Linked DNA regions of Arabidopsis thaliana. The protein of the gene in region 3 interacts with the protein of the main gene of each other region in a biochemical or structural test. Each region holds a gene or a part of one and is shown on either strand. Other genes may lie near its edges.

Evidence for each region.
Region 1: the proteins of PIL5 (region 3) and PIF3 form a complex in vitro, tested with the Arabidopsis thaliana proteins (one study listed by BioGRID).
Region 2: the proteins of PIL5 (region 3) and HY5 form a complex in vitro, tested with the Arabidopsis thaliana proteins (one study listed by BioGRID).
Region 4: the proteins of PIL5 (region 3) and HYH form a complex in vitro, tested with the Arabidopsis thaliana proteins (one study listed by BioGRID).

What each region holds. Positions count from the first base shown.
Region 1 is NC_003070.9:3,072,182-3,081,684, forward strand, and holds PIF3 (phytochrome interacting factor 3), read left to right. Parts: upstream 1-3,586; 5' UTR 3,587-3,671; intron 3,672-4,219; exon of another isoform or gene 4,220-4,277; 5' UTR 4,278-5,034; coding exon 5,035-5,105; intron 5,106-5,196; coding exon 5,197-6,076; intron 6,077-6,164; coding exon 6,165-6,272; intron 6,273-6,363; coding exon 6,364-6,429; intron 6,430-6,661; coding exon 6,662-6,727; intron 6,728-6,802; coding exon 6,803-7,186; 3' UTR 7,187-7,473; downstream 7,474-9,503.
Region 2 is NC_003076.8:3,591,381-3,598,388, forward strand, and holds HY5 (Basic-leucine zipper (bZIP) transcription factor family protein), read right to left. Parts: upstream 3,624-7,008; 5' UTR 3,421-3,623; coding exon 3,324-3,420; intron 3,094-3,323; coding exon 2,910-3,093; intron 2,800-2,909; coding exon 2,538-2,799; 3' UTR 2,415-2,537; intron 2,272-2,414; coding exon of another isoform or gene 2,203-2,271; 3' UTR 1,981-2,202; downstream 1-1,980. Other genes in the region: AT5G11250 (Disease resistance protein (TIR-NBS-LRR class)), read right to left, coding at 1-580; OCP3 (overexpressor of cationic peroxidase 3), read right to left, coding at 4,177-4,305, 4,397-4,714, 4,892-5,269, 5,457-5,696; AT5G11280 (tail fiber), read left to right, coding at 5,941-6,041, 6,355-6,586, 6,671-6,967.
Region 3 is NC_003071.7:8,701,893-8,710,565, forward strand, and holds PIL5 (phytochrome interacting factor 3-like 5), read right to left. Parts: upstream 5,113-8,673; 5' UTR 4,893-5,112; exon of another isoform or gene 4,657-4,892; 5' UTR 4,647-4,656; coding exon 4,549-4,646; intron 4,461-4,548; coding exon 3,755-4,460; intron 3,623-3,754; coding exon 3,545-3,622; intron 3,456-3,544; coding exon 3,390-3,455; intron 3,308-3,389; coding exon 3,242-3,307; coding exon of another isoform or gene 3,227-3,241; intron 3,136-3,226; coding exon 2,797-3,135; intron 2,717-2,796; coding exon 2,633-2,716; 3' UTR 2,548-2,632; intron 2,468-2,547; coding exon of another isoform or gene 2,384-2,467; 3' UTR 2,132-2,383; downstream 1-2,131. Other genes in the region: AT2G20170 (NEP-interacting protein, putative (DUF239)), read left to right, coding at 1-143, 226-381, 469-519, 614-760, 1,117-1,503. UniProt on the Arabidopsis thaliana protein: Transcription activator. Negatively regulates chlorophyll biosynthesis and seed germination in the dark, and lightinduced degradation of PIF1 relieves this negative regulation to promote photomorphogenesis.
Region 4 is NC_003074.8:6,020,141-6,026,746, reverse strand, and holds HYH (HY5-homolog), read right to left. Parts: upstream 2,904-6,606; 5' UTR 2,777-2,903; coding exon 2,713-2,776; exon of another isoform or gene 2,640-2,712; coding exon 2,453-2,639; intron 2,361-2,452; coding exon 2,162-2,360; 3' UTR 2,037-2,161; downstream 1-2,036. Other genes in the region: AT3G17620 (F-box and associated interaction domains-containing protein), read left to right, coding at 1-249; RBL14 (RHOMBOID-like protein 14), read right to left, coding at 574-1,362, 1,586-1,801; IAA31 (indole-3-acetic acid inducible 31), read left to right, coding at 5,707-5,831, 5,929-6,140, 6,239-6,323, 6,412-6,466. UniProt on the Arabidopsis thaliana protein: Transcription factor that promotes photomorphogenesis in light. Acts downstream of the light receptor network and directly affects transcription of light-induced genes.

The DNA.
Region 1 (9,503 bases), on a different chromosome or scaffold from region 3:
ATATCTAGCCACTTGTTTCTGTTAATTCTGACTCGGATGAGACCAAAGAGACGAATGTGGCCAGATATTATAGTGGGCTGATGAGTAAGGCCCAATAAAAATTTAAGGTTTAACACCTATCTACCGTTCCATAATTCTTCTACAAAAGGTTGTTGATTGTATTAAACAGTGTCGCATAAACTTTTAAGAGCACCGAACCGTATTAAATTCATCAACCAGTTTGTGGTAAAGATACAATAATGTGGATTTGGTTTTGTCTCTGATTCAATTTTAAATTGACAAAAATCTGAATTGGGTTTGGTTTATAGTTGAGATTGATTAGTTTTTTTGGACTATCCAAGGAAGTGGGGACGTGTTTGATTATGAGGATAGGGACACGGCAAAGCGTGTCAACGTGTAGAAGTTCATTGTATTTTGCATAATATACGTATATACATTACATACATACCGATTCTTGTTCGATATATTGTTTCTGGTCAACATTTTGCACCAAATTAAGGAAAAGACAAACAAAAGCATTTTGCACCAAAAGGAAACGCATTATTTTCTTCTATATTGTTCATATAGAATATGCCAGATTGTAATAGCATATGTCACATGTGTCACATCTCTTGTGCCCTCAAAAATCACCACGTGTATCGACTCATCATCTATCACCATCGTCGAGAATAATTTACCTGCTGATCATGATCATCTTCTCCAACAAATTTGCTTTTGTGTTGACGTAAAGTGACGTTTTGATAATATATATAGCAAATGTATCTGACCTTTTAAATTGTGGAAGGGCCAGTTCTAAGAAAAGAAAGAAAAAAAATGAGCTAGGGTTCTCTTTCCTAAGTTGTTCATGATAATGAGGTAAAAGATTAATGCCAGTATAAACTTCTGGCACGTGGTCGGCTAGCTAAAGATCAGATCTTTTATTTTTGTAGAGAATGTAGAGTAAGTGATCAAAAACCTGTTGTTGGCCTATTCCACGGCGGATTGAGAGAATTGTGCGGGGACAGGGTCTTGTCATTTTATTTGAGTTTTGGCCTAACATATAGCAACTAGATCATAACCCGTATATAGCACGGACATTAATATTTTATATAAATTAAATTGTATACTTTGTTATGTTTGCTATGTTTGTTAAAATTATTTGTTATATTTGTCAAACTTTAGTAAAATATATTTAAATTAAATTAAATTTATTAAAACTTAATAAATTTAAAAGTTTTTTTTGTTTGGAGACGCACTATTTACATACAAAATATCCGTTTCTATTTTTTGAGTACTTTTAGGGCCTGAAACTTTTTATCCAAACTGACCTAAACCCAACTGGACGCGACCCGAACCGAATATTTAGAATTATTCTATTAAATAGTAAATCATATACCCATTAATCCCAAACCCGAACGGGTTCTACATGAACTCGAATGGGTTACTCATATGTCCAGCCCTATTCTCTGATTTAATTATCTAAAAAATCCCAATAAACATATGTTTTGGTGAGTACTTTTTATTCAAAAAAATTTACATCCTCTTCTGCCAAAATCATTTCATAAGACATCCCAAAATCTTTGGAATAATGATTCCATGAATGAAGAATCCTAATTTGAATATACCAAGAGGTTTTGAAAGGTTTTAAGTTTTTGATAGGTGTGTATGTGAGAAGGTACATCCATCGTGATGGTAATCTGCTTATTTATAATTTTAACTTGCATTATACAGCAGATAGGCTTATATTTTAGTTAAACTAAAAACTTTTATTGTAAAATTGATTATAAATATATGATATTATTTTATTTGATTTTAAATGTATAGAAACTACGAGTTGTATATGTTTTGTTGATATTATTTATATTGTTTAGTGTTTAAAATTATATACTTGTATTTTGATTGTTAATTTTAGAGTTTCACATGTAGTATACCATCTTGTATTAATATTGATTTAAACCCGTCAATTGTAGGATTTTTCAGCTTGTATTAAAAATTGAATCACATCATACACATTAAAAAATCTAATATGTTATTAATTATTGTAGTATATAAGATTATAAATTTTAAAATAATATGTATGAAATTGAATATAAATATTCAAATTATGACACAGTACTCAGTAATTTTTTTTCTTAAATCTACTTTTGACCCGTTATAGTATTTTTTTCATGTACTGAACAATTTATATTCGTTTTTAAAAATTCAAATTGTGGCATATGCGAAAAAACTCTAATTATTTTTTTATAACGATGATATTATTTTTTCGCAAAAATAGAATCATATAAAGATGAGAGGTGAATTATAATAATTAATAAAAAATTAATATGATAATATTGATATCAAATCTAATTTGTTGATTTTAATTGGTTACTTTTTTGGAAATTAATAATGTATTTCGTTTTTGAGTTAAATTTAATTAATTAAATTAGTATTTGACTTTTTAATTTTTAAAGAAATGAATTAATTTACTCTTTAAAATTTTATTTCTAATGGCATACGTATGTAATTACTTACAAAAAATAAGGTTACATTTTAAAAATTAATATGATAATTTAGATATCAAATCTAATTTGTTGATTTTAATTGGTTACTTTTCTGGAAATTAATAATGTATTTCGTTTTTGAGTTAAATTTAATTAATTAAATTAGTATTTGACTCTTTAATTTTTAAAGAAATGAATTAATTTACTCTTTAAAATTTTATTTCTAATGGCATACCTATATAATTACTTACAAAAAAGAAGATTATATTTCAAATGTACTTCCCAAATAATATAGTAGGATCACTTCCATTCCGAGTTTTCTTCTTTCTTTGATATATATATCTACTTATTTATTTACTCGGTTTGATTTTATAATAAATTTGTTTATAATTATTTTCTGAACAAGAGATGGCCATAAAATACAGTGATGAAATCAATAATGGTCCATGCAAATGTACTCAAATTATCCACTTGGAAAGTTTATAGTATACAATGGGTTGTTACGTATTTTAGAATCTAATTTGCATGGCGATTTAATTGACATTTCATCATCAACCGAGCTATAACGAGAGATAAACCAGAAGATGCAACGTTCGTGAACAAACTCGACTGATATTCTAGATGGTTTTATTTATTTTTTACTTATAGAAAGGAACAAATTAGATTTAAAGATAATATGCTCTAATCTAAGAGTTTGGAACCACTATACCACATACTATATCCCATGATTAAAAAAAATCTCAATTATTATAGCGCAAATGATTGGTTTTCATCAGTTAATAGAACTTGCTGAGTGAGTCCCCAAATTTGAGGATGATTAGTAATTTAGTATCGTAAAGACTAAAAAAGACTTAAGAAAAATAGTAATGATTAGAGAAGTCAAACCTTTAATAATTAAGATAGATAAAGAGAGACAAGGTTGCTCAACCCCACTTGGAGTGTGATGCTTTTTTGGCAGTGTTCCTTTATGATAACACATCTCTTCACACACAACTTTAGTGTATCACAGGCCCATGTCACTTTAAGATAAGATAACATATTCTAGTATATGATTATTTTCATATTTGTAAGTGTATTAAATTATTCATAGACACACCATGAATTAATTGTAATAATGCGAAGGACCTGTATCATGTAACAGAGACAGACGAAGTGTGCAGAGGTCGGTGAGAAGCAATTTGGTCACCATGCTCCAACTCTCTTCTCTAGGTCCCTTTTGCTTTAATTTTCTCGTTTAATAACAATATCTTATGAAAGCAGTTACCATATCAATTGAAGGATTGTATAATACCGTAATTTATTTATATATAGTACATCTAATTAAACATTAATTATTTCTACTAATAGCCTAAAACCACTACTAATACAACAACTAGTACTTGTTTACGATAATTATTAAACTTGTCTCGATACCTACAACATGCCCAAAAAAGTAATCAATACTTTGTTTAATCACAAAGATCTCAGTGAGATGGTTCTATAGATAGTATTTCTGATTTGTTAGTATATTAGAGAATTGACCATCTATTAAAATAAGAGAATGAACACTATTTGATAAAACAATACATACGCAATTATCATTGTCTTTAATTTTTATCAAAGTAATCATACGATCGACTATTTGTATGCAAAAATTCATCATTTTATTTGCAAAAAAAAACAAACAAACATGGTAGAATTGTATTTGGTGTGTGTTTTAACAAATTGTTGCAATGTTTAGTGCAACATATATAATCCACTATATATAATCATTGACATAATTAATATTTGATTATATGAAGCAATTTCTCTTTAATTATGTGTTTATAAATATAGGGAGAAAAGAAAAATAGAGAGAAAGGTAAAGAGTAGAGCTAATGATTCGGGCGACGCTAAAAGGTTGAATGTTCGAGAGAAACGGAGTCTCAGAGACTGTGAAAACAAAAAATCAAAATCCTCAGTTACAGACGATTTGGTCCCCTCTCTTCTCTCTCTGCGTCCGTCTTGTGCGTCGATTTGTCTCCATCTCCTTCTCTCTCCGCCTACTTTCTCAGGACTACTCCAATTCGCCGACTTTTTCTCCTCTGTTCTCTGCATTTGGATTGATGCCACTTTAATACTTTGAGGTTCTCACTCTCTCTTTCTCTCTTCGCTGACTTCGATTGCTTCAGTACCCTTTTTCTCAGGTCAGCTACGATGATAGCTTTATTCAGACAAGAAGATCAAAGTTTTGATCTTTTTGTTTTGGTTTTCTTAAGAGATGGTTAATTAGGTCTTGAGTGCGCTGTTTTGAATCGTTCTTCAGTGTGATTAAACAATTGGTTTTGATTTGACTAATCATGTTGCCATTAAACTAAGTGAAAATCTCTGCTTTTTTTATATTGCATATTGATGATTGAGACATTGATTTCTTTTCTATTTCTTTATTTCCCAGTTTCTAATTTGGGAACTGAAAAGTTTTCTAATTTAAGCATTACAAAGTGTACAATTTTTGTTTCTGGCAAGTTTTTCTTGGCCTAATTCGTCTATTTTATGAATTCACCTTTTTAGGATCAAGACTTCGTAAAAGATTGTTTCTGTAAAACGCAACACCATGCCTCTGTTTGAGCTTTTCAGGCTCACCAAAGCTAAGCTTGAATCTGCTCAAGACAGGAACCCTTCTCCGTGAGTCCCATTCACTTGTCTCTCTTTAAGTCTGCCTTGTTTCAAGTTCATCAAATTCATGTGTTTTTTTGTTGTGTGTGAAAAATAACAGACCTGTAGATGAAGTTGTGGAGCTGGTGTGGGAAAATGGTCAGATATCAACTCAAAGTCAGTCAAGTAGATCGAGGAACATTCCTCCACCACAAGCAAACTCTTCTAGAGCTAGAGAGATTGGAAATGGCTCAAAGACGACTATGGTGGACGAGATCCCTATGTCAGTGCCATCACTAATGACGGGTTTGAGTCAAGACGATGACTTTGTTCCATGGTTGAATCATCATCCCTCCCTTGATGGATATTGCTCTGATTTCTTGCGTGATGTGTCGTCTCCTGTTACTGTCAACGAGCAAGAGAGTGATATGGCGGTAAACCAAACTGCTTTCCCGTTGTTTCAGAGAAGAAAGGATGGCAATGAATCAGCTCCTGCTGCTTCTTCGTCGCAGTATAACGGTTTCCAATCGCATTCTCTGTATGGAAGTGATAGAGCTAGAGATCTTCCTAGCCAACAAACCAATCCGGATCGGTTTACTCAGACGCAGGAACCACTAATTACTAGTAACAAGCCTAGTTTGGTCAACTTTTCACATTTCTTACGCCCTGCAACTTTTGCGAAGACTACTAATAATAACCTTCATGACACTAAAGAAAAGAGTCCTCAAAGCCCGCCAAATGTGTTTCAGACCAGAGTTCTTGGAGCTAAAGACTCTGAAGATAAGGTTCTTAACGAGTCTGTTGCTTCTGCTACGCCTAAAGATAACCAAAAGGCTTGCCTAATATCAGAGGACTCATGTAGAAAAGACCAAGAGAGTGAAAAAGCAGTTGTATGTTCTTCTGTTGGCTCGGGTAATAGTCTCGATGGCCCATCCGAAAGTCCTTCACTTTCTTTAAAGAGAAAGCATTCGAATATTCAAGACATTGACTGTCATAGTGAAGTGAGTTAAACTCATGTCATTTTATGCACATTACAATTTCGTTTCTTTGTTGTTTTCTTCAGTTTTTTTATTGAATATTGTTGAGCAGGATGTGGAAGAAGAATCAGGAGATGGAAGAAAGGAAGCAGGTCCATCTCGAACGGGTTTGGGTTCAAAGAGAAGCCGCTCTGCAGAAGTGCATAATCTGTCTGAAAGGGTGAGTGAGTGAAGCCCCTAAAGGGTTTTTGTCCATTCTCAAACTCACAAAAGATTGCTATATTTGGTAACTTACTGTCCTCAATTTTCAGAGACGGCGTGATAGGATCAACGAGAAGATGCGTGCCCTGCAAGAACTCATTCCAAACTGTAACAAGGTCAGCTTCTTCTCCTTTACAAATACCATTCATGATTCATTTTTGTTTGAAAGATAAGGAGCAATGCCAAATAAACTAAAACTTGCATCTTAGAACGAATTGCTAAAGGTTTTTGATTGGTTTCCGTATTTATTAAACCGGAAAAACAATTGAAACCATATTGTAAGCAAGATTGTTCAAGCCGAGAATTTTCGTATTTAATCAGCTTTTGTAACATTTATATGGTTTAAAGGTGGACAAAGCTTCGATGCTAGATGAAGCCATCGAGTATCTCAAGTCACTCCAACTTCAAGTGCAGGTAACACTCTCATTACTCTCTAGAGTCGATAAAAATCGTGCAAACTAATAATCTAAACACAATAATCGCCAACAGATCATGTCAATGGCGTCTGGTTACTATCTGCCACCGGCGGTTATGTTCCCACCGGGTATGGGGCATTACCCGGCAGCAGCTGCTGCAATGGCAATGGGTATGGGAATGCCTTATGCAATGGGCTTGCCTGATTTGAGCCGTGGTGGTTCATCGGTTAACCACGGACCACAGTTCCAAGTCTCGGGGATGCAACAACAACCAGTGGCGATGGGTATTCCACGTGTCTCTGGTGGTGGTATCTTTGCCGGTTCTTCGACGATTGGCAATGGCTCGACTAGAGATTTATCTGGTTCTAAAGATCAAACAACGACGAATAACAACAGTAACTTGAAACCAATAAAGAGAAAACAGGGGTCTTCTGATCAGTTTTGTGGATCGTCGTGACATAAATACAAACTTATGAACTGATGTATTGTTTATTTGTAGCATTCAAACAAATCTATTTTATAATCCTAAACAAAATTAATTTGTGTTCGTTATAACAGTGAAGAGCTTTGTGCTTATTGGTGGGTTCTGTTCTGTTTCTTGTTTTGAATTAAAAAATGTTTTTAATATTTTCAAAGGTTTTGTTCCCTTTTTAATGTAGCGTGGGGTTCACTATATAGATGGACCTGGTTAAACAAGCGTGATGGGCTTCTCAGCCCATTTTGTTAAATAACTTAATTATGACATTTTCTTTCGATTTCCTTTTTTTTCTTTTTTTGGGCCAGGACTATTGAACTAGTGAAGCTGAATATATACCCACGCGAAAATTGAAATTATTGGAAGTTTTTTTTTTTTTTTTTTTTTGTTGGAACCTATAGGGTGTATATAAGTTACATGATACACGGTGTTTGAGCGCATCACTTAGCTTGATATGTAGTTTATGTTATACGTAGTAAGTGATTCGCTCACGCATGACTGTTACGTTTTCTTTAACAAAAAGAAAGGGAATCGATGGTTAGGGTTAGGTCAACGATCGGAGGAGTTGAGCTAGAGCCTAGAGAACCATAGTTTGGAAGAGGGCAAATGTGAGCTCCTGATTTGTTTCTCGGATGCTGGAAGCTATATATATGTCCATGATTGTATCGATTGGGAGTTTTGTCGAAAGTAAAAAATTTCTTCCTCAATTCTTTAGGAAGTTTGTTACTTTGTTTTATGTTCACAAAACGTTGTCAACTTCTCGTAGATGCTTGTTTCTATAGTTAGAGATGTTTTATATACCCAGCCTGCCAGCCAGCGAGCAGACTTTTATTAATAGTTTCCCCTATATATAGGCTATATAGCTTTAGCGTAAACTTAAGTTCTGTGTGGTAAATCGCGTCTTCACAAACATTTTTGCACCAAAGACTTCTTAAAAGTAATATATAGAAGAGAAATTTAGATGATTCTGTCCTCGTTTAAATTGATGAGACTTATTAAACTTAAGTAATGCATAATAAATAAAACATTAAAACCTTTAGTACTGAAAAAGGTAGTCTATATAGTGGAAAGCAGAGAAGAACAAAAAAGGGTTTATACTTCCATTTAGATTTTGTATCTTCTAATGGAGGTGGATTAGACAGCTCTAACTAATTACGAAAGACAACAAGCAGTAGAAAATGGACACGTCGAACACCTAGGGAGACAAATTAATGAATTACACGAGGTTTAGATCGAAACTTGAAATAGAAGAAAATGGTGTTAATGTGGCAAAGCAAAAGAAAAGTTAAACATCATTTTGCTTTTGGCTACATTAATATATCAAGATTACCTATGATTATGTCTCTTCTTCTCTCCTTTCTTACCAGTTAGATTGGGCCATATTAGAGAGAAATTCAACCATACAAGCCCTCTTTTCTCACTTTTAATCAAATCTGTAATATTATTTGCCTTCTTTTCTAAGTTTGATATTTTTCTCGACCACAAAATCACAAAACACAAATCAAATGATCAGTTTTGGAAAAGCAAATGAGGCAAGCAATTAGTAAAAATAGCATAACCACTTGGGTGTTTAATTTTTTTCCGTATAATCCAAAAGTATTTTTTCAGTAGAACTACAACATAAAATAAAGGACTTAATTAACAAGTATATAATCATCAAAATCGTATTATAAAACCATTTATTTTATTTGAAAAACTAACTCAATCCACAATAACTCAACTAATTAGAAAAGCATCAGCCAAAAAAATGATTAAAAAATATAATAAAAAAATGATTATCTTTCAATTTGGGGGCATAATATATTTATCAGAAAACATTGCTTTTTTATTAACGAAAGGAATATTTAGAAGAAACTTTAAAATATAGAAAAAGATAACAGAAAATAATGAAAAGGGACCTTAGTACAAAGTGCATGCATGTGCTAATGTTTCCTTGATGATGGGATTAGTGCTAAACGGGCCAATTAAGATGGTATACAATAATACAATTAAGGTCACTTCTCATTGGGCCCTCTATCTCTTTCTCCGTGACCTCATCCTCTTAATCTAAAATGACTAAATGTTCTATACTTTTTAATAAGTCCCTTTCTCCTTGTCTAATTAATAAAATTCTTTTTAACACAAAAAAAAGCCGAAAAATCTTCCATCAACATCGTTGTAGAGCGTTATTAAAAATTGTACACTTCCACAAACTTTTATTGGATGCATATTTTCGTTAGTCAATATAATTGGTGGTTATATCCTTTAATAGCGTAATCTAGATTTGGGTCTAAACCTTTTAGTTATAGAAACCTAGCGT
Region 2 (7,008 bases), on a different chromosome or scaffold from region 3:
TTTCCCAAGCTTGTCTCCATCTCCCAATGTCCTTCTTTGGTTTACCGGCACAAGTTTTTCTAAAGACTTTCCCGAAATCTCCGGTCAGATTTTTTACATCAGAAGGATCCACTTTGTAAAATATGGCCATCACAGTTTGACCATACTCTTCTCTGCATTTCATAATCTCCACCAGTTCGTCAAGACACCATTTTGAAGAAGCATAGTTCCTAGAGAGCAAGATAATTGCTATCTTAGACCCTCTAATAGCCCGCAGAAGCTCAGGACCGATGGATTCTCCTCTTTTAATCTCATTATCAACGAATGGAGTGATTCCCATTCTTTGAAACTCCATCTGAATGTGACTGAGAAAGTCTCTACGGACATCTTCCCCGCTGAAGCTGGGAAAGACTTGGTGTGTCCAGATGCAAGACGAAGAAGGTGGAGGAACTGATGAAGGAGACAAAGAAGATGGAGATGATGAAGGAGATAAAGAAGTTGACTTCTTTTCTTTGTTATCATGATGGAATCTGAGTTTTCTCAAAAGGGTGAAGAAGCCTATTGCAGCTGCAACAGTGGTAAGGAAAAACGAAGAAGCCATAAAATTAGTAGGATCAGTATCACAGTTTTCTTATCTCTTTTCTTGCAGTCAACTATCACAGAGCTTTAAAGAGGCTCTGTATACAGTGAAAAACGTTGACTCCAATCTCCATTGACTGAGAATGTTGAAACTATTACATATATACCCCAAATTCTGGATATTTCTCACAGAAAATTACAAGAACGGGTCCTACATGAGCAACTAGCAAGAGAAGAAGCTTCGTTCAATAATGTTTCAATAGCAAAATGAGGTCCAACGAAAAAAAAAAACTAAATATAAAATCATAAGAAGCAAACAGCAAAAGGAAAATTTAACCTCACAAGCATAAACAAGACACAGAATGTAAGAAACAGTAAAAGGAAAGATAATGTAGAATGTAGAATCATAAGGATTTTTCATTGGTTGTGAGATTTTGATTCTAAGAGGAAAGCAGCAACTAAAAAACTCAAGATAAATTTCAAGAAAGCATTGATCAAAATCTGAGTTCCATGACTTAAAATACTTACATTGCTGTTCACTCCTCAAGCTTTCTCTTTGTCGGATTTTTTGCAAATTGATCAGCGATATTGATGATATGAGAGATTTCTCAGGTAAAACGTCAAGCCTTTGCCTCACTTCCTGTTCGCAAGATGCTAGAAAGCGAGATATTAGATTCTCTATTCGCCTGGATATACTGATGACTCTCTTCTTTTAATCTCATTATCATTGAATGGAGAGATTCATTTTCTTTGAAACTCCATCTGAACGTGACTGAGAAAGTCTCTACGGACATCTTCCCTGCGGAAGCTGGTAAAGACATGGAATGTCCAAATGTAAGACAAAGAAGATGGAAGTGGTAAAAGAAGGAGAATAAATTTTTCTTTGTTAACATTGATAGAATCTGAGTATCCTCAAAAGCATGAGAAATAATGTCAAACAATCCATAGTACACTAGCAACTAGCAATAGATGAAGATGAGATCCACGAAAAATCTAAAATAGAAAACAAAGAATCAGAAAGCATACAACAGGTAAAGAAATGTACGATTTTGTCCATGAAATTCGGTTGTGGCAACCCGATTCTAAGAAGGGAGCAGCAAGTTCAAGGTAGCAGTGACAGAAAACAATGTCTGGATTCCATGGATTTTAGAAAAAGGAAAGCAAAAGTGTAAGAAAACACTTACATGATTGCTCATCTCTCGAGCTTGACAAGCTTTGGCTGTAAAAGATCGACCCTACCCTCTTTGTCCGATTTCCGCATAATATGATCAACGGCATCTTCGTTTACAAATCCATGGCGACTTGTCTGTAAGAAATCGGGAGGGATAGGGGCAAAAAGGAAAAAAAAAAGAGTAAAGATTCCACTATCCCAGAATTTGTTTGGGACTTTGAACTGCGGGAATCGAAAACGCAACCTTTCTACTACAGTGTCACAATGTCATATCATAGAACAAAAATTAGCTTATTTTTGTTATAAAACAACATTATGTTTCAATTAAGAGAAATCTAAGACTACAATAAGAGAACTTGGTCTACAATTGCAATATTAGCTCTCACATCCCATATAATTTTAACATGATAATTATTGATACAATTCTCTGTAAATTTTATCCACAAAAATATAACACAAGAAGAAGAAGGAGATCAAAGGCTTGCATCAGCATTAGAACCACCACCACCTCCTCTCTTGTTTCCTGTTGTGTTCTTCAGAATCTACACCACATAAAAAACATAACAACTCAAAAGACTTTATTACCACACACACACATAGAGATCCAACTTTGCAATCTCATCTTCTCCATTCATATAGAACAAAATGAGTGAGCATTTCAAGAACCATTGAAGAATTTACATGCCTTTTGAGAGAATATGCGAGTGAATGACCATTTCAAGAACCTACATGCCTTCTGAGAATTAATCTAAAGCTTAAGTTAGCTTCTTAGATCCTTTTAACTAACTAAACTAATTATTGGTCAATCCTAGACTCGTAAATGTGATAAACCAGTACTGTGATATATCAAAAAACAAATGGCAAAAGCATTGACGTTGCAGGTTAAGTCAACAGTAAGATCGACAAAACGTACATGTCTAAGCATCTGGTTCTCGTTCTGAAGAGTAGAGAGTCGCTCTTCAAGTTCAGAGTTTTTGTTCTCCAAGTCTTTCACTCTGTTTTCCAACTCGCTCAAGTAAGCCTTTTTCCTCTCTCTTGCTTGCTGAGCTGAAACTCTGTTCCTCAACAACCTTTTCACCACAAAATTACCAAACAACCCCATCACGCAACCGTTATTTAACATAATCACCTTCCATATAAAGGGTAAAAATGTAAATTCAATGAATAGAGAAAAAGACACCTCTTCAGCCGCTTGTTCTCTTTCTCCGCCGGTGTCCTCCCTCGCTTCCTTTGACTTTCTCCGACAGTCGCCTGTGTCCGCTCCTGACCGGTCGCCGATCCAGATTCTCTACCGGAAGTTTCTTTTCCGACAGCTTCTCCTCCAAACTCCGGCACTCGCCGTATCTCCTCATCGCTTTCAATTCCTTTAAAACATAAAAGAGACTTTAGACGAAAAGTTTCAAACTTTTTAAATACAATAAAAAATTGCAGATCTTCTGGGGGAGACTAAAAGTTGTGAATCTAGATGTGAATCAATGGTGATACAAAATCTAGATGTGAATTTACTAGATATCCAATGCATGAGAATGAAAATCAATGAGATCACTCGTTGGGAGAAGATATGAAAATAAAACAATCGACAATTTTTGTTTACCTTCTTTGATCTCCAAATGTGGAGCAGAGCTTGATGACCTCTCGCTGCTTGATGGTAAAGAGCTTGCAGCTAAAGAGCTAGTCGCTTGTTCCTGCATTTTTCTTACTCTTTGAAGATCGATCAGGCGAGAGAGAGAGGGAAAGATTTGTTGTCTTAGTAGCGAAGCTGGTGAAAAGGATAAAGAGGAAAAGAGCGGGACTTGGGATTTACAGAAGAACTTGGAAAGAATCTAATTGCGAGACATTTTGGGAAGGAATAGATTACTCTGGCTACCGCCGTCAGATCTCTGAAGAATCGAACGGATATCGAGAGTGAATCGTGGAGAAAGGTGAGCCTTGAGGAAATACAAGGATCCAAAGGCAATTGAGATTGGAACGTGGGTGGATTTTAGCCGTTAGATCTGGTTAGCATCTTACGGTGAATAATGGATAGGGGAGCTAATTGGGTGGGCCCCATTCCTGTCCTTGGACAGAAAAGTTTGGTCTGAGTTCTTTCATTCTGTCACATGGCCCACGCCTAGGGCAGTGCTTTCAAAAGTGTCGTGAAAGTAATTTATTTTATTTTTGGTGATTTGTTTTTGTCATGCATTAAAATTAAACTTTATAGCCGCCATAAACCAAACAAAGTTGAAACGGTTTTCTACAAGACACAATCTCAGCAAGGAAATAACTAAAAACTGAATACAAGATATCCTAAAATTTCATAGTCCAACATATCCAGCCACACCATTGGACAGAATCTACTACTATAAACACTCCTCGTATCACCAAAAAAACTTGTCCTTGACGACAATGTTGATGAGTTTCTGAGAATCAAGTATACAAATCATTGCCATCTCAACGTTAACATTAGATCAAACCGGAGCTTGATATGGAGCTCGCTTATCTGGAACTCCGTCTTCTGCTCTTTTATCTTCGAACCACTTCAAAACTCGCTTCCTTGGAAGATTGGTCACTTGAACAATGCTGCTAACCACAGCATTCTATTCACAGCATCATCAAACATGATCATATGTGAGATAGAGCATTCAAGTAACATAGAAATTGATTCAAATGTAAAAGGAGAATCCTTACAGTGGGTCGTTTTGATCTTCTGTAAACTTTCTCTAGCGTTTCAATGTGAGCTTTCTTCACTCTTTTCTGAGCAGACCATCTCTGTTGCATCACATGAACTGCTTCATCTTTTACTTTTTCCTTAGGTTCGACCACAACATCTTCAGCTGATAATGATTCCACAGGACTTGGATCAGGTGAGGAGTTCTCAGGTGCTGCTACTGGCGGTTTTTCATCTGGTAGTGTAGCACTTAGCATTAGCAGCTTTGGAGGCGGGTCACGAAGCAATTCAAGAACATAAGCCCTGTCAAGACAAACCTCAGCTGCCAGATTTTTAATCTACAGATCACAACAAAACCATCCGTTATCAATTATGCATTTGAAAACCAGAGAACTACTTGTTCTTTGTCAACTCTTAAACAATTCGTAAGCAAAATCTCCAAAGCAGACACTAACTCAAGCACTATGCTTTACACAATGTATTCAACATCACTTCAACACTGAACTAAAACTTACACTAGTTTTACGACGCCCAGCTTTCAATGCATAAGCCAGTCTTTTAAGCTGCCAATTCTTCAGCTTAGTCGGTCTTTCATCTTCTTCGCTGTCATCATCATCATCATCATTATCATCATCATCATTATCATCATCATCATTATCAACATCAACATCAACATCACCAGTGACTGAACCAAACAAGTCGATGTCATCAACATCGTCACCAACACCCAATGCTCGAGCTAACTCATCGGCTAATGCCTCTAACTCTTCCTCACTTATCTCCTCATCATCCGAGTTATCATTCTTCAAATCTTCTTCTAAAAGATTAAACAATGCCTCAAATGGATCCTCCTCCTCCTCACCTCCTCCATTATCAGCTCCATCCAAACTTTTCTGCCACAAACCATGAAATCAAAGGCTGATACAAAATCAAAAAGAGCCAAAGTCTAATTCGAGGATTCACCAATTCTAACCGATAATAGCTCACTTAGTTAGTGTATCCAAATTCTAGTCAAATTCGGCGAAAGCAGCAGGTAAGAGCAATTGCGAACATAAATCATTCTCATTCTGATTTTCTTACCTTTTTGTTTTTCTTCGGAGACGAAGAAGACGAAGACACGAATCCTTTTCGATTCTTGCCACGAGCAAAAACAAGTACAGACCGAGACGGATTGAGAATTGGAAGAGATAGACCACAAGGACTAGCGTTCCGATTCCGAAACAGAACTCTGTTGACGGATAATCCTGACGACGAAGAAAACGACGGAGGATGAAGATGAGAGACGACGCCGGCAGAAGATAGAGCCATGGCTTTTATCATCAAAACTGTTTGCTGTTTTCAGCAGCAGTGAGAAAAATAATCGGATTTTTATATGAATCTTTGTAAACGACGTCGTTTATCCCTTAAAGATCTAAACACTGACTCCGTTTTGTGTTTACAGTGTAGCAAAGCGTGTCGTTTATAAAGTATTTATTTTGTTCTTCGTCGTTATCGTCTGGTAACAACGGGTCCACTCTGCATCTCTCTCTCTCTCTCTAGATTTGATTTCTTTGCGGGCTTGTTAATGGCGAACCCAGGGCAATCAAAGGGATGGATAAAGAAATGGACGTCTATGGCTTCATCGGTTTACTTCGTCTTGATCTTATTCCAGATCCCTCTCTTCAGGTAAATTCATACTAAAACAAACTCTCAGCTGCGTAATTCGAACCCTATATTTCGTTATCTAGTGATGCGTCTATGAATCCGATATGTGGACGACGCTTAGTCTTTCTCTTGCGTAAGGTTGATTAATGAAAAACTTGATTTCTGATTCATTTTCAAGTTTCCGCATTTTTGTGTAGCTGGTTTTAGTATGAAACTCTAAGCTGATTCAAAATTTTATCAGTTGATTAGAATCTTAATAATATGGATCATTAGTCATTACTTGGTTTGTTTGTCTCTCTGGTTGATCTGACTTGAATCGTAATCTTAAAAACAGAGTTCCATGTAGATCTGGTATGTGTTCATCGCCAATCCATGTGACATCGTCTCAGTTGATTTCTAGTGAGATCTTTCCTGTTCCGATGATTAAGGCTCTCTTATACCCTGGTGCTGTAGTCAATGGCCTTGCCATCAACATGACATTTCCAAAGTGGGAAAATGTGTTAGATATCTACAATCTCACCAATGTGAAAGAAGCTTCTGCAGTGACCGATCTTCAACGCCTAGAGGTTCGCTTATTCTATCTCAAGAGCTCCTAACACAGTTCACTTAAGATTCTACTAATAGTCTCACAAGTGATACATTTTGTACAGGTTCTTGCAGGGAGCTACTTTTCTGTAGCTGGGGCGTTTGTGGGTTTGCTAAAGCCTGGAAGGATGAGCATGTTTGGGTCATTGCTACTAGTATGGGGTCTTGTTAAAGAAGGGATCTTAGGGAAGCCAGTAAATACTGACCCAGCCAAAACTGTTTATGTGTACCCAACTATGGTGCTTGCGATGATCTGCGCTTTCTCTATGATAAAGTATGACTTGAGGAAAGCCACGAGGGCAGCTCCAGCTCGTCCCATTGCTAAACCTCTAATGAGCTCTTCAAAATCTAAGCTGAAGTGAGTTTTTTGAGACTTAATAGGGCTTGTGTCCTGTCTTTGTAC
Region 3 (8,673 bases):
AAGACATAAGTTGTCCACATGGAACAGTGATTATTAAAAGAACTACACTTGAAGATCTTATACAAATTCAACGTTTGAAATATTTAGGGGTTAAGTATACAACTTCAAAAGACAAGGATTTCCTCAATATGACCGGTCGTCATGTAAGAAAAGCTTCTTGTTCACATAGTTGAGACCCTAACAAGTGCTTAATTTTTTTGTTTCTTCCTCTTTTGTTTATCTTAGTTTGCTATAGCTGAATACTATAGAGACAACTATGGAGCAACGGGAAACATAAATTTATGGGATCCACCTGTCAACCCTGATCAATTTAGTCTTGCAAGTATATATGTCGAGAACGGTTTTAGAGACAGTTTACAGAGCATTTCAGCTGGATGGATAGTAAGTCAAAAACAAAATTACTTCAAAATTTCATAACAATTCAAAAAGAAAACCTATAAAATTGTAAAATAAATAAATATCTTACAGGTGTCCCCGAAACTAAATCAGAATAATAGTGGCTTATTTACATATTGGACCGTAAGTTCTTCAAACATATTGAAAGTTTGATAGTTCACTACATTGCATGTCAAGCCACACTGGCTAAATTGGTTGGAATTTATGATGGAAACAGGCAGATGGACATGAGAAGACAGGTTGCTACAATACAGTATGTCCAGGGTTTGTACAAGTGAGTAGCAAGCTCGCACTTGGAACTCTTGCCAGACCAACTTCCACTTATGATGGCGAACAATACTATTTACAAGCCATCATTTATCAGGTATATATAACCCCATGTTTCTCAAATCCCACTCATATTGACAAGTCGATGTTGCATAACACTTAGGTATATATATTGACCAAAAATGGTAGTAAAAATATCGACCGATGATTACTATTGTTTACTTATAACTCAAGTCAGAAACAACCCAAAATTATTTTTGTGTAATCGAATAAAGAATAAGCAAAACTTTATAAATTTACGTTTTGATTTGGTTTCATGAACCAAAACCAAGAATTAAAAATGTTTTCATTTGGTTTCAATTTCCATAAAACCTATATATAAAAAAAAAAAAAAAAAAAAACTCTAATTTCAATCGCTACTTCTAAAAGAGTTACTGCTTTTGGTTTAAGCAGGATAATATTACAGGAAACTGGTGGTTTTTGATAAAGAACGAGCCAATTGGGTATTGGCCAAAATCATTGTTTCATGTTCAAGGTTTAGCTTATGGAGCAAGTCGTGTGTTTTGGGGAGGAGAAGTTTTCAGTGCACTGAGACAGAGTACAAGCCCACTCATGGGAAGTGGACATTTCCCAAAAGAAGGTTTCAAAAAGGCAGCTTTTGTGAACGGCCTTAAAGTGATAGATCGTGAAATAGAAAAAATTAGAAGTCCACCAGTTAAAGATTTAAGATTATTCGCAAACAGCCCAAAATGTTATAAAGTCGAAACAAAAACAGGGGTCGGTGAGGAGTGGTCTAGTGCAATTTTCTATGGAGGACCAGGAGGATGCACCATTACTTAACAAATCTTTAAGGTCATTTACGTATAAGTATACCTTCTATTTTGATGTGTTAAGGAAATATATAGTAAAATAACTTTGACAAAAATAAGGAAATAGTAATACTAATATATAAGTTTTCAAATACTATAAATGTTAAACTTCTTTTTACATCTTCTTTATTAAGCAAATACAAAATTGATTTAACGGTTTGATACATATATATGCATGTTTGTCAAGTCTTATGGTCATGGAGATAGCAAGTCTTAACGGTTTGAGAAATTTGTTTGCCTTTTCTTTTAGCTTTATATTTTCGATATTATGGTCATGGACTGGAGATACCATATTAGTTGACATCACTACGTTTTTAGATGAAGAGATCCTATGAAAGACACTACAAAATGGGCAATGCTTGGCCAATTACATCATTAATTTTCTTGCTTTTGTTTGCTGGCTTTTGTCCGTCTATTTACATATTTTGTGTCACATTGTGAGCTTAGTTGCAAGGACTAAGATTTGTTTGTGCATTTGTATCGATAAGTCTTTGGGACTTGGGAGTGGAACATTTGTAAATATTCACTGTTAAGCTTAATCAAGAATTGCTTTCGTCAAAAGTAATAATAATAGACGAGAAAAGAATAATGATCGGGTATGTATATGAACCTAACTTTCTCATATTTATTCTTTGCACTAAGCCTCTGCAACCTCTATGTATTGATTCCTAGATCTCTGGATCATTACATGTACAGCTCTCTAAGTATACAACCTGAGAAGAGAGGACAAAACAAACCAAAGAAAAACAAGAAACAGATGGCGATATATATACATGTTAGGTCTCTCTGTCAATTTCTCAAAATTGTGTTTGCTTGTGAAAACAGATCTTCTTGTTGCTCCATGGACATTATTAACCTGTTGTGTGGTTTCCGTGATCCTCAGATTCCTTACTACTACTCACCCTGCTCGAACTTGGATACGATGTTGCTTGATTCTAAAATAAGAAAGATAAGAACTTGTGACTTGTAAGCAGAGGAACTAGCCATTTTTGGGAAAAAGATGACTGTTTAGTACCTGAAACTGAGGTGGTTGGGTCGGGTCGGATAAGAAATTGTGTTTGCTTGTGAAAACAGATCTTCTTGTTGCTCCATGGACATTATTAACCTGTTGTGTGGTTTCCGTGATCCTCAGATTCCTTACTACTACTCACCCTGCTCGAACTTGGGTACGATGTTGCTTGATTCTAAAATAAGAAAGATAAGAACTTGTGACTTGTAAGCAGAGGAACTAGTCATTTTTGGGAAAGAGATGACTGTTTAGTACCTGAAACTGAGGTGGTTGGGTCGGGTGGAGACCGCGGAACTGCTGATATGGATCCGTGTAACCAGCTGGATACTGAGGCTGGCCCGAGGTTGGATCATACTGCTGGTTCGGTACAAAGACTCTTGACGGGTCAGAAGCATGAACAGGGTATTGCGGTCCTGACCCGGCCATGTGAGTTTGTGTAGGCAAAGGTCTTTGAGCGGCTAACATGTTGGGGAATGGCATGAAGGAAGGAGGAGGAATAGGCTGGTTCATACCCATACCCATCGCCATATGAGGCATGTACTGTTGCATGCCCGGATACATCATTGGCATCATTCCACATCCCATTGACATCATCTGCATTAATCTCAGTCATATAAACTGGAGTTTTCATGGTAAAGTGTACATTTTCAAGAACTTAAAAAGGGCTTTCAAGACTTAGAATCCTTTAAAGAAAATGAACCTGTATTTGAAGCTGAAGAGATTTCATGTACTCAATAGCTTCATCTAGCATCGAAGCTTTATCTGACTGAGGATCAAAGAAACAACAATCAGTAACAAGGTTAACGTATACAATAACTTGAAGAGAAAGAAAAAAGATCGTCGAAGACCTTGTTGCAGCGAGGTATAAGTTCTTGCAAAGCTTTCATTCTCTCATTGATCCTATCTCTCCGTTTCTGTTACCAAATCCGCGACATTCTTCAGATTCATTGCGAAATCTTTATCGAAAAAGATTACAAAAACATAAGAAAAAACACAAACGTACTCTTTCAGAGAGATTATGAACTTCAGCAGCACGAGATCTCTTGGTAGATGTTGTTGATACACGTGCTTGTTTTGTTTCCTGCACCACAAGAAAACACCAAAAAAGTTAATTAAAAATGCGCTGAAAACTACAAAGTCAGACTAAAATGCGCCGTATTTGACTTGCGCACGATAGCTAACAACGACTCTGTTCTGTGTTTTTTTGACTCACCTCGCTACGGGATTCAGTTTCATCAGTAGTGGTGGCTTCTCTCTCTTTTCGTTTCCTATCATCGACGTTCGTCTTCTCCGGTTCGATTTCGCTCTTTGACACTACAGATGACGATGTACCGGTTATCTCGATCGCCGGCGCCGTCATAGCCACTGCTTTTCCCTTCCGATTATACGCGCCGCCTCCAGCTACGGCGGAACTGTCAGTACCATCCGTCCGCCGTGTTAAACCGGATTCACTCGCCGCCGCCGACGGTGTTGCGCTAGGACTTACCTGCGTAGATTCTCTCACAACCGCCTTCGAAAGCAACGGTCCAGATTCACCACCTCTACCGTTATTAAAATCCCCTCTCAGCCTCGAGAAATTCATGAAGTTCCTCACCGGCGGCCTCGACTCATTCGTCGAAGATACTGGCGGTCTCGCGGCGGTGACTTGACTCACCGTCGCGGTAGCCGTCGCAGTAGGTGCGGCGGAGAAGAGAAGATCTGAGCAGAAATCATCGTCACGGAGAGGATAATGAAGCCAAGAAGTCATTTCATCTTCTTGAATAAAAAGATTCTGATCTGAAGAAGGTTGCTGCTGAGGATCCATAGAAGGAAGAAGCTTCGGTGGAGAAGAAGAAGGTTTCTTGGTGTGAAGTCTCTGGTTTTGAACAACAACTTGACCGTTCTGCCATAAAAGCTCCATAAGATCATCATCTTCACCCCTAAAGTTTTCAATACTATAAATACTCAGATCTTGAACTAATCAAACTTTTTTTTTTTTTTAATATAAGTTTGAATAAAAGAACTTACATAGTAGTAATGGATTTTCTAGGAAGATGATTCAAAGAAGAATTATGGTTGTTGACATAATCATCATCGGTATCGAAGTCAGGGACAAAATGATGCATATCTCTCTCTCTACAAAGATGATGATAATGGTAAGTATTAAAATAACAAACAGTTATCTTCTTCTTCTGGTTTTATAACCAAAAGAAAAACCCCAGAAAGATCCAAAAGAGTAGCACTAGTGAGTAAGTGTACTACACACAGAGATTACTAATCAGTGAAGAAACATATATACTACCCAGACTATATCTAACCTAGAGAATTGAGGTTGGTACTGGATAGGCTTCTCAAAAAAAAAAATATATCACCTTTATTTCTGGGGAACTAGTATTGGATGACTGGATCTTTTTTTTTTTTTTTTTGTGCTAAAGGATGACTGAATCTTATTCTGAATTTTCGTGCTTTAAGAATGTGATAAGCTTCTTAAGGGTTTTTGTCTTTTTCTTATATGTCTCTCTTTGGAGTTTGTTTTTGCCTCTTCCGTGACTCTAGCATGTATCGCATTTACTATTGTGTCAACTAACTTTAACAGTGAATTCTCTATTTTATTTATGTGTGTATGTGTCTGAATAGAAACTTGTGCCCATTTTTTAACCTCTGAATAAAAAACCAAGTTGAACATAAAAACAAAATGTCTGAGATCATTTGTAGCTGACGGAGATAAAATAATCAGCCTCATTGTTTCTCATCCGTACTATAAATTGTTTTCATGGCATTATCATCAAAAAAAAATTATTTTATAAACTTTATCCAATGATCCGGTTAATTTTGGTAAAAATATATTTAAGTATTACAAAATAAATTTATATTCAAGGATCATCACACATTTATTCCGAGTTTAGAATATTAACTGATTAACACTTAAACATAACTGAATCGCATGTTACCAGATTACCATTTAACTTGTCTGGACCAAACCTAGACATCCTACATGAATATAATTTTCTTTTGATAGAAGATCGAATACCGGATGAAATGGTATTTTAGCAATAAGACTTGAAAATGTGGTATTTTGAGAAATGTCTCAAAAAAATATGACTGACACGAAAATAATATTTTGTTTTAAGGGAGCCTCGAATTCTAGAGGAGTATTGTAGCAAAATATCACACTTTCAAGTTGTGTTGTCAAAATACCACCAAAAGTTTTGTTTTCCAAAAATATTATACTTCAATTTTGATTTTCAAGAGTTCATCAGAATTAAAAAAATTAAGTTTGAATTGACCATTTTAATTTTAAGATATTGTTTTTAGGGGTTAGGGTTTAGTGTTTAAAGTTTAGAGTTTAATTTTGAATGTTGGAAGTTAAATTTAAGTTTTATGTTATTTTAAGAAACCAAACATTAAGTGGTATTTTTAAAGAAATAAACAAAAACTTAAGTATCATATTTAAAAATTGTCCTTTTTTATATCGCTAAATTATAGATTTAAGACTACATATATCTTGCAGGAAATATTCCTTTAGTCTTGTGGTTAAATCCATTTGATTCCGCTTTTTCCACCAGAGTTTGACTCCACTAAATCGTGTTATCTTGCATAATAGATATTGGCTATAGAATAGACCATGTCAATCCAAAGATGTTAAAAACAAAAGACTACAACATATGCAAACATGATATTAAAGACTTAAGTGAGTCTCCTCTTCTATAAACAGAAAAGTCGAATGCTACATAAAGTGTTAATTTATAATCATTTATAGTAGTCAAGTTAGTGAACAAAGTGTTAATTTCTTCTATAATACTTCTTTTGTTTCTATTTTGTTCTAGTTTAAGATTTTGGTACATTGATTAAGATCATTTAGTTTCTGTTTTCTTAAATTTTAAAAATATGTTTAATTACATATTTTAAAATAATTTAACCAATAAAAAGTTGCAGAATTTCAAGAATCAAAAATAATAAAATAATAATAAATTTTGCATTGAAAACAACAAATAAAATGAAACAACTTATTTTTTTTTATAATCATTTTACCTTTTGATAAAGAGCATTTATCATTGATATGGGAACACGCACATATATATATATATATACACATTAATATGTATATACATATTTTTATATAATTCCAAGTAGGGAAGAAAGAAACAGAGAATCAGATATGGACTCACATTGGTGGGGACAATATTAAGACAGAAATTGGGTGTTTTTTTTATTGATAATCTCAATGATTTATGAGACAGGGTAATATGTTTATTTTTGTTGCTAAACCACCCTCTTGCATGATCTATCAAACTTAATTATTTATTCTTTTATTCAGATTTAGACATAATCTATAAACATCAATTTTTTCAAGCTAAATTTTGTTGCTAAATCACCCTCTTGCTGTTGTACATTTTTTTTGTCCGCTAAAATGATTTGTACCTATCTAAAATATATTTTGATTTACCATCAAAGTTACTTTAAATTAAACAAAACGCAAAATAGAAAAAAATATTATCTCCTGATAAAAAAGTCGTAAAAAATTTTGATTGAATAATAATGATTTGCGTTTTTGTTCTTTAGAGTAAAATATAATATTTTATGTTAGATGCAAATGACAAGACAAAAACTGAAATTAAAGCCTGATTGTGGTTATATTTAAACAAAATGCTAAGTAATAATATTCCGAAAATTATCATATATATCTCGTCTTATAGACTACATATGCTTATGCAATTGTATGTAGCTTTTTTTCTTTACCAAATTATGATTTTGTAGGAAGTAGGAACTGAAACAATGAGACATTAAGAGAGAACATATTTAATGGGAGTCTCTTAATTACTAATAAAATATAAAAAAAAATAAGAGAGAAAAGTGAGAAATTCTAAAATTTTTGTCTCTTATTTGAATAACTCACAAAAAACTCTTGAGACATTATGTGTCTATAATTGTCTATCTTTTTCATCAAAAAAAAATTGATAATTTAATTTATGAAAATATTTAATTTATATTATTATTTAGAAACTCATTTTGGTTTCTCACCGTCTGAAGTACGTACTCTCGGTGACTGTGTTAATATTTGAATAATTAAATTGTTGATTAGTGATAATAACATAAATTCTTAGAAAGTTATTGTCTACTTGATGATCTTTACCAGCTTTGGAATAAAATATCAAAAAGGTCTTTATTAGATTAATAGAATAACATTTAATTTGTCATCAGATTTAGATACTAAATTAGCATGTTGGGTTTAAGGAAACGATAACCATAACAAGAAAACCTTAATCATTTGCATAAGACAATGATTTTCAGGTAATCGCACGCTAATAATACTTTATTAGGTCTAATATTAGTCTTTATGCAATGCTAAATGATCTGTAATCACTCTCTATATCCGTGTGAAATTTAGATAAATAAATAAATAGTGATTTAATAAATGCAGTATACTATATACATAATTAAATTTGGATAATAATATGTTGACGTCATTAGTACAAGTACAAACCAGTAGGTTATAAGATCTGAACATATGTATATAACTTATGTTTTAAGAAAATATATAGATTTTAACAGTTTTTTAAATGACTAATCGAATTCACAATTCACAAGATTGGCATTTAGTCTACTACAATTTTAACGTTGGAATTTTCATGAAACACTTAAACTCATAAATCATAAAACACATGGAATCGCATATAAGAACAGAATTATCGGCAAAAAAGGGACAAAAAATAGAATCATCAGTTACAATATAATAAAAGTAGTAACATAAACTCGTAATGTAAACTATAATCTCCATCATTTTCTGGCCCATACTGTTCCTATTCGAAGCTTCAAACTAGTAACTATTATTTAACATTTATGGAAATTTTTTTATAGATTTAATAAAAAAAAACAGGCTAGGCTCGTAGAGTCGTAGACTACTAATGTTGAATTAAATAACTGGTAGAAATGATTGACAACAAAATTTACAAGTAGAAATGATGACGAAAATGGTTGACAGAAAAAAATGATGACGAAAATGATATTTGATGGCGACATGGCTATATAATATTTATCAATATAAAATAATTAATATTATATTTAATTAGTACGAATATAGTAATCGTATAAGATAAGGTGGACCCAAATATTATAACTATTTAAATTTTGGATCTGAATTTATAATATTCT
Region 4 (6,606 bases), on a different chromosome or scaffold from region 3:
GCAGATGCGAGTTTCATCATTGACGAAGAGAAGAAAGTTGTTGTAGTCTTTGCTAAAGACAAAGATGTAATGTATCCCACTCACAACACAGCTTACATCATTGGAGAGGATGGATATTACAAAGAAGTGGATCTCGGAAAAACTACTGATAAAATTCGAGATCCACTTGTGTGCTCGTATGTTCCAAGCTCAGCGCAAATCAAGCAAGGAGGCAAAAGGAAGAAAAAAGGGAAATTGATTACTGATTAACATTTATATCTTGCTTTGTGATCTTCTTCTTTCAACAAAATTTGGTTTGAAATAGGATAAAATTTTGTTAAAATCGAAAGTCTGTGAAACTGTAAGTTTGGTGTGAAGATACTATATTATCTGAATCACTCGCTACTTTCAGCAATCTAATCAAAGGACCAGTTCACGTAGAACCAAATCTTCAACAACAAAAGAGAAGACAAATTGAAGAAACAGATCGAAAAACACGACCACTAACTCTGCTATTCATAAGCTAATGCAATGAATGATTCAACAAAGCTTCATTCACAATCCTTCCTCAGCTTTAAGAATGCGCTCCCGAGATCAACTAAACCTCTCTACTCTTCGACGGCGCAGCTCATCTAAAGGGAGATCATTAGAAGAAGAAAGTGCTGGTCCCTGATTCAGTGACCATCCATTTCCTCTAGCCCGTCCCGAGCCACACATCTCGCAAGCACTTAACCAACCAGAATTGTCATATGTACACGACTGACATCTCCAAATACCAGGTCCTGCTATCCCAGTCTGACCTCTTCCCACTCTTCCTCTCCCCGTAATCCTCCTTCTCCGAGACCTAACCATACCATTCAGAAACCTCAAGGGCCACGTCACCAATCGAGATACACCTCTAACCGCCATAGTGACTGGATCTGAGCCTGAGTAAGAACCTTTCAGCTTCAAATAGATAATACCAGCAAGGATTCCACCCAAATGCCCAAGAAACGAAGCGTTAGGTACAAACATCTGCACTAGAATCAATTCTGCCCAAGCAGCATACTTTGTTGGAACCAAGATACCATACACACTTGAGTAATCCTCAGCTTGAGAATTAAGAACAACTTTCATAGCAAAGAGAACACCCGAGAACCCAACCGCATACTCGTTGTAGTAAGCTCTGTCATAGTCAAACAAGAGAAGAAGCGATTTGGCTAACAACAATGTGACTCCTTGAGACATACCAATAAGAGTAAAGACCATTGAAGCAAACTCACTGCTTCCCATTGATGTCTCAAGCTTGATACCTTTCCAGAGAAGTGACATCATGTTATAGACTAAGTGAGGCTCGTTAACATGGTAGAACGCTGATAGAAATAAACGCTTCAAGTCCTTATGCTGTTCAACAAATACACATCAAGATTAAAAAAAAAAACTTTAACAGAGAATAGAATTAATCAATCAAGAATGATCTAATTAGATATCGAAGAACAAAATCCCTAATTCTCCAGATATTGGTACAAATTTCCCAGGAAACTCAAATTCGAATTTCAGATCGAAATCGGTCAAATTGCAATCAATTTCTCTTGGCGAATGAAGGAATTTATTAAGATTGGTTTACCTTGAAGATGAGGTGAGGATTGAACCAGACCTCACTGATGTGAGGAATAACGGGATCGATAAACGCCGGCCTGAGATAAACGAGAGTGTTCGCGGCCAGGAGACTCGCCGTCACCGGTGGTTTCCACGGTAGTCTATAGTACTCCGCGACGGCGCTTAGAGCCAGCAACGGCAACATTCCGCCTCCACTTCTTCTCCCTTCACCAAAATTCTCCATTTCTTCGTAATTATTCTTTTCTTCTGATCTCTCTGAATCACTTACAAGTAATTAAAATCTCATCTCTTTCACAATATTTATATAGCAGCAGCTTGGTCTCTACGAAAACAAATTCTCCAGAGACTTCTTCGTTTCACTCGCATAAGAACATGTGGGACCCACCACGGCATTTTAGAACTCTAGTTTTTATACCTAATCTCTTCTTGCCTTTTTTCGTTTTTTTTTACTTTATTTTGCAAATCTGAATGACAATGATGCTCAAAGTGAATGTTATTCGAACAAAAAGTGTATACAAACCAAAACCAAAAAAGAAAGAAAGATAATCATACAACACTGAACAATGGATTAAAGGGTAAATATTTAGTGATTGTCATCAGTTTTAGGCCTTGTGTTAATAAGCATTTTACGAAGCATTGTGTTCTCGTTCGTCAAAGTAGAAATCTTCTCTTCGAGCTGGTCATTGTTGTTCTGTAACTCATTAGCTCTTGATTCCAAATCACTCACATACACTTTCTTCCTCTCTCTTGCTTGTTGCGCTGATACTCTGTTCCTCAATAATCTGTAATTTTTCACCACAGTTTCTTTTTTACCATTTCAATTCCACAAATCGAATGCTAAGAAAAAAAAGTTTTTTTACTCATCATTGATTACCTCTTGAGGCTTCTATATTCTTTATCAACAGGGTTTCTTCCACGGCGGCGTTTAGCTGTAGAGACTCCATTTTGAGTCTGGTCAAGCTCCGGATTGTTGACTCCATCGTCGGCGCTGCTGCTTAGAACACATGTTGATCCAGCTGCTTCCATGTCAGGAACCATCAACAACTCCTCATCACTTTCCTCTGAGAATTATACAAACCAATTTCTCTAAACCAAATTAAGTTAAATATTAGATAAGTTTCTTTCAACACCTACCAGTTTTGTGCTTCTTGTGGGAAGAAGACGAACTCGAGTTCCCATTGGGTCGTTGGAGAGACATCAATATCTTTTTGTCTTTTGAGATTTTGCTAAAGACGAGAATAGAGAGGTAAGAGGTTGAAGAGAATATCAAACCAAAGGAAATTGCATCTTTTCTTTCTTCTTTGGGGCCACTCAAAGTCTGCAACTCGTTTCAAACAAAAAAAAAGAGAAAAGTATTGGTTGGCTTATAAAAGAACACGTAGGTTTATGTAAGACCACAAATGCAACTGTTTCAATCCAATGGTGTGTATCTGTGTTTTCTTTTCCACTATATCCCGTTGAACTTATTAATTGATTTATTGTTCTGTTTTGCTTTTAAAGTCTTTGTTCATGATTTCTACGGAAAACAACCTTTAGTGAGTATTCACAGAGCGTGTGGGTTTAGGACAATAATTACTGTCTAGAACCATACAAACGTACTTGCAGACAAAGTCAGAGGCACAACTATGTGTGTGTGTATCTATTTGCATGGCGTAATAGGCATGCATAAACTCATCATGTGGTCATATATCTCGTTTTCTATTTTTTGGTACACAAATAACTCTTTTGTATAAAGACAGCTAACTAATGTTTTGAATTTTTAAATGTTATCTCTTAAAATTAAATTCTACCAATTGTAAATTCAGTCAATCATTCCGAAGCATTTTTTCATGCTTTGTGATTCCGCCATATATTTTCCCATGTTCTTTTTTACGTTTTTCATCATAATTTTAAAGTTTTACGATTTTTTGTTGTTATCAATGAAAATGGACCAAGTAAACTTCTACCGTAATGGTTGCATATTAGATAGTGGACTTATGCGCGCGCGCGGAAACAAAACTTGGCCGGTTGAATCGTCGTCTGCCTGGCATCTAACAGTTTTTTCGAACATTGTCATAATCAATATATTGAGGGATGTTAATCATGAAGTCGTATGGAATGGACGCGGGAAATCACTCATAAACAATGTGAACATTTTATAAGGTTATAAAGAAGAACAAGTTTCATCCTTCTTTTGTATATTTCGACTCATACATATCTTTCTATTCAGGAATAAGTATAAAACATAATATAACATGTGGCATATCGACCGACCAATACATCTTTCCCAACCCATGATCAACCTTCTGATTGTGTTTTAATTTATTCGTCATGAAATGGATCAGAATACTCATGATGAGTTTGTGTATCACTCAAGGGACCCCTTGTCTTAAAATCAACTAAAATCATTTGATGTAACTTTTATACGAAGTACTATCCAAATAATTAATTTTCATAAGCAGCGGACATTCATTTTGTTTGTATGACTATATGATTTTATTATTTGAAGCTGTATGCAAACGTGGAGATATGATTGCATCTTTGTCTATGCATGAACATGCCACGTTAATTTAGGAGTACATATCATGATATTGATCTCTCTTGCTATAACTTTTTGGCACAATACTATTGCATGCCTCTCTATATTACTTCAACAAAACGTTTAAATTTACCATGGTTAGAACTTAGAAGTAATCGAGCTGCAAACCATGGTGATCATATTTTTTCTCGTTCGCATGCTCGGTCTTAATATATTGAGAGTTATGGCCAAAATTTGAATACCATTTTAAGAAACTTCAGAAAATCAGGAGTTTGATTATTATCTTTGGTTCTTACTTACTTCAACGAAAACTAATGACAAAACTCTTTTAAGTCGAGGTATGCGAGTAATAACTCCTTGGACATATTTTTTTGATAAAAGTTTAATTGATTATAGACTTATAGTAGTCTTAATTATTATTATAAGTATAAAGAGGAGTAAACATTCATCATTAGACTACTAGACATTATAAAGTTATATATATCGAAATTCTAACAAGAAGGATCCCTAGAGACCAGACATGCATGTCCAAAGACAGATCGTATAATAGCTAATAGGAGTCTTATCGATCCAACATCCAAGGTAGGCTTTATTACAAAGTAACTATTAGAGTGCACTTCCCATGATGATTCTAGAATCTAATATTATTATCAATACAGCCAATGAGCATTATGTGATGTAACAATTTATGTCTACTTTATATTTTGAAGTTATCATAAATCAACGAATTCTATTTTGATTTTCAAAAAAGAGTAAAAGATTTGGGCTTCTAAGAGAGACAATCCACAAAGCTAAAGAGACATTAACAGGAAACGTATAGTTAAAGAAAAGAACACTGTCTGCTCCACAAAAACAATATACACAAAACTCTTCAAGTCTACCTTATTTTTATTGGTTCTGCAATTTTCAATGGTCTGTTACATTAATGTGTCATAAGAGACAATTGAGTTTTCTTATCAACAGAAGGGTCTAAAAAATTGATCCCCCAAGTTCATAGTCTATAGACTCAGTTTTTTTCTTTCAAATATTGATGTGTAAGAAAGTGAAAGTGATGTGATGCTCTGTTTCTGTTTACGGCTAGACAATAAAGCCTTTTTTGGCCCTTATCTCTCCTAATTAAAGAATCTGAGCAGTTGAGAAATTAAAATCAAAGCCTTAACAGATTAACTCCAACATCATTTAGACACACTTTCCTTGGATACCACCTTTTTACGGAAACTTCGAATCTTACATGTAAACAAATCTCAAAACCATAATTTCACATTTTTACTACTAACTAACTCCAAAGATCTAAACCCATGAATTAAGTATCTAATCGGGTAATTATTACAGTGGTTTTCAGAAATCAATGTGTGTTCATATTTAGAAGGTTGAAAGTTCATAGTTAAATGTGGGGAACCTTATGTTCCTATTATTTATTTATATTAAATTTCAAAGTCGATTAAATCAATTTTTAAATTCAAAATCTATGCAATAGAATCACCTACTAGTCCTTTTTTGTTTAACTAGACAGAGAGAAATAGAAATAGAGAGAGAGAGACATGAAGAGCACTCTCAATAGAGAAGAGAAGGAAGCATGAAGCTAGCTCTGCAGCTTCAAGGTCTCATTAATGGAGGTCTCTAACTCTTGTTCTTCATTTTCTTCATCCTCTGTCGACAGTACTAAACCTTCTCCTTCTGAATCTTCTGTTAATCTCTCCCTTAGTCTCACATTTCCTTCTACTTCTCCACAAAGGTCTTATTCACATCACTTCTCTGTTTTTTCCTATGTTCTGTTTTTGCTCTGTTTTCTTTTGTTCACATTTGTGTTTTAAATCTTTATTTTTTTGTAGAGAAGCAAGACAAGATTGGCCACCGATAAAGTCTAGATTAAGAGATACACTAAAGGGTCGTCGTCTTCTTCGTCGTGGTGATGACACTTCTCTCTTTGTTAAGGTTTATATGGAAGGTGTTCCCATTGGAAGAAAACTCGACCTTTGCGTATTCTCAGGCTACGAGAGTCTATTAGAAAATCTCTCTCACATGTTCGATACTTCAATCATCTGTAAGTAATTAATGAACAACACATAATTCCGTAAAAACAACATTCAACTAAATTCAAACAGTTTGAAGTATATCCATGCATTGTCTTGGCTATAACAGGCGGTAATCGAGATCGAAAACATCATGTTTTGACATATGAAGACAAGGATGGAGATTGGATGATGGTCGGAGATATTCCATGGGAGTATGAATCTTATATCTTGATCTTACATTGGTATAATTTCCTCGGTTATAGCTATTCTCTAATTTTTGAAATCGATGTTTTTGTTTAGTATGTTTCTTGAAACCGTGAGAAGACTAAAGATCACGAGACCGGAGAGGTATTAAAACTTGGATCGGTCAAGGCTGTGATTGCGCAGTTACGAGACGTGTAAGATTTAGGCATTGATGAAGAGACTTGAGGCGGGACGGAGCTATTGCTGCATATTGCAACAAAGGCCTTGAAGAAGTTGGAGAATTGATTGATG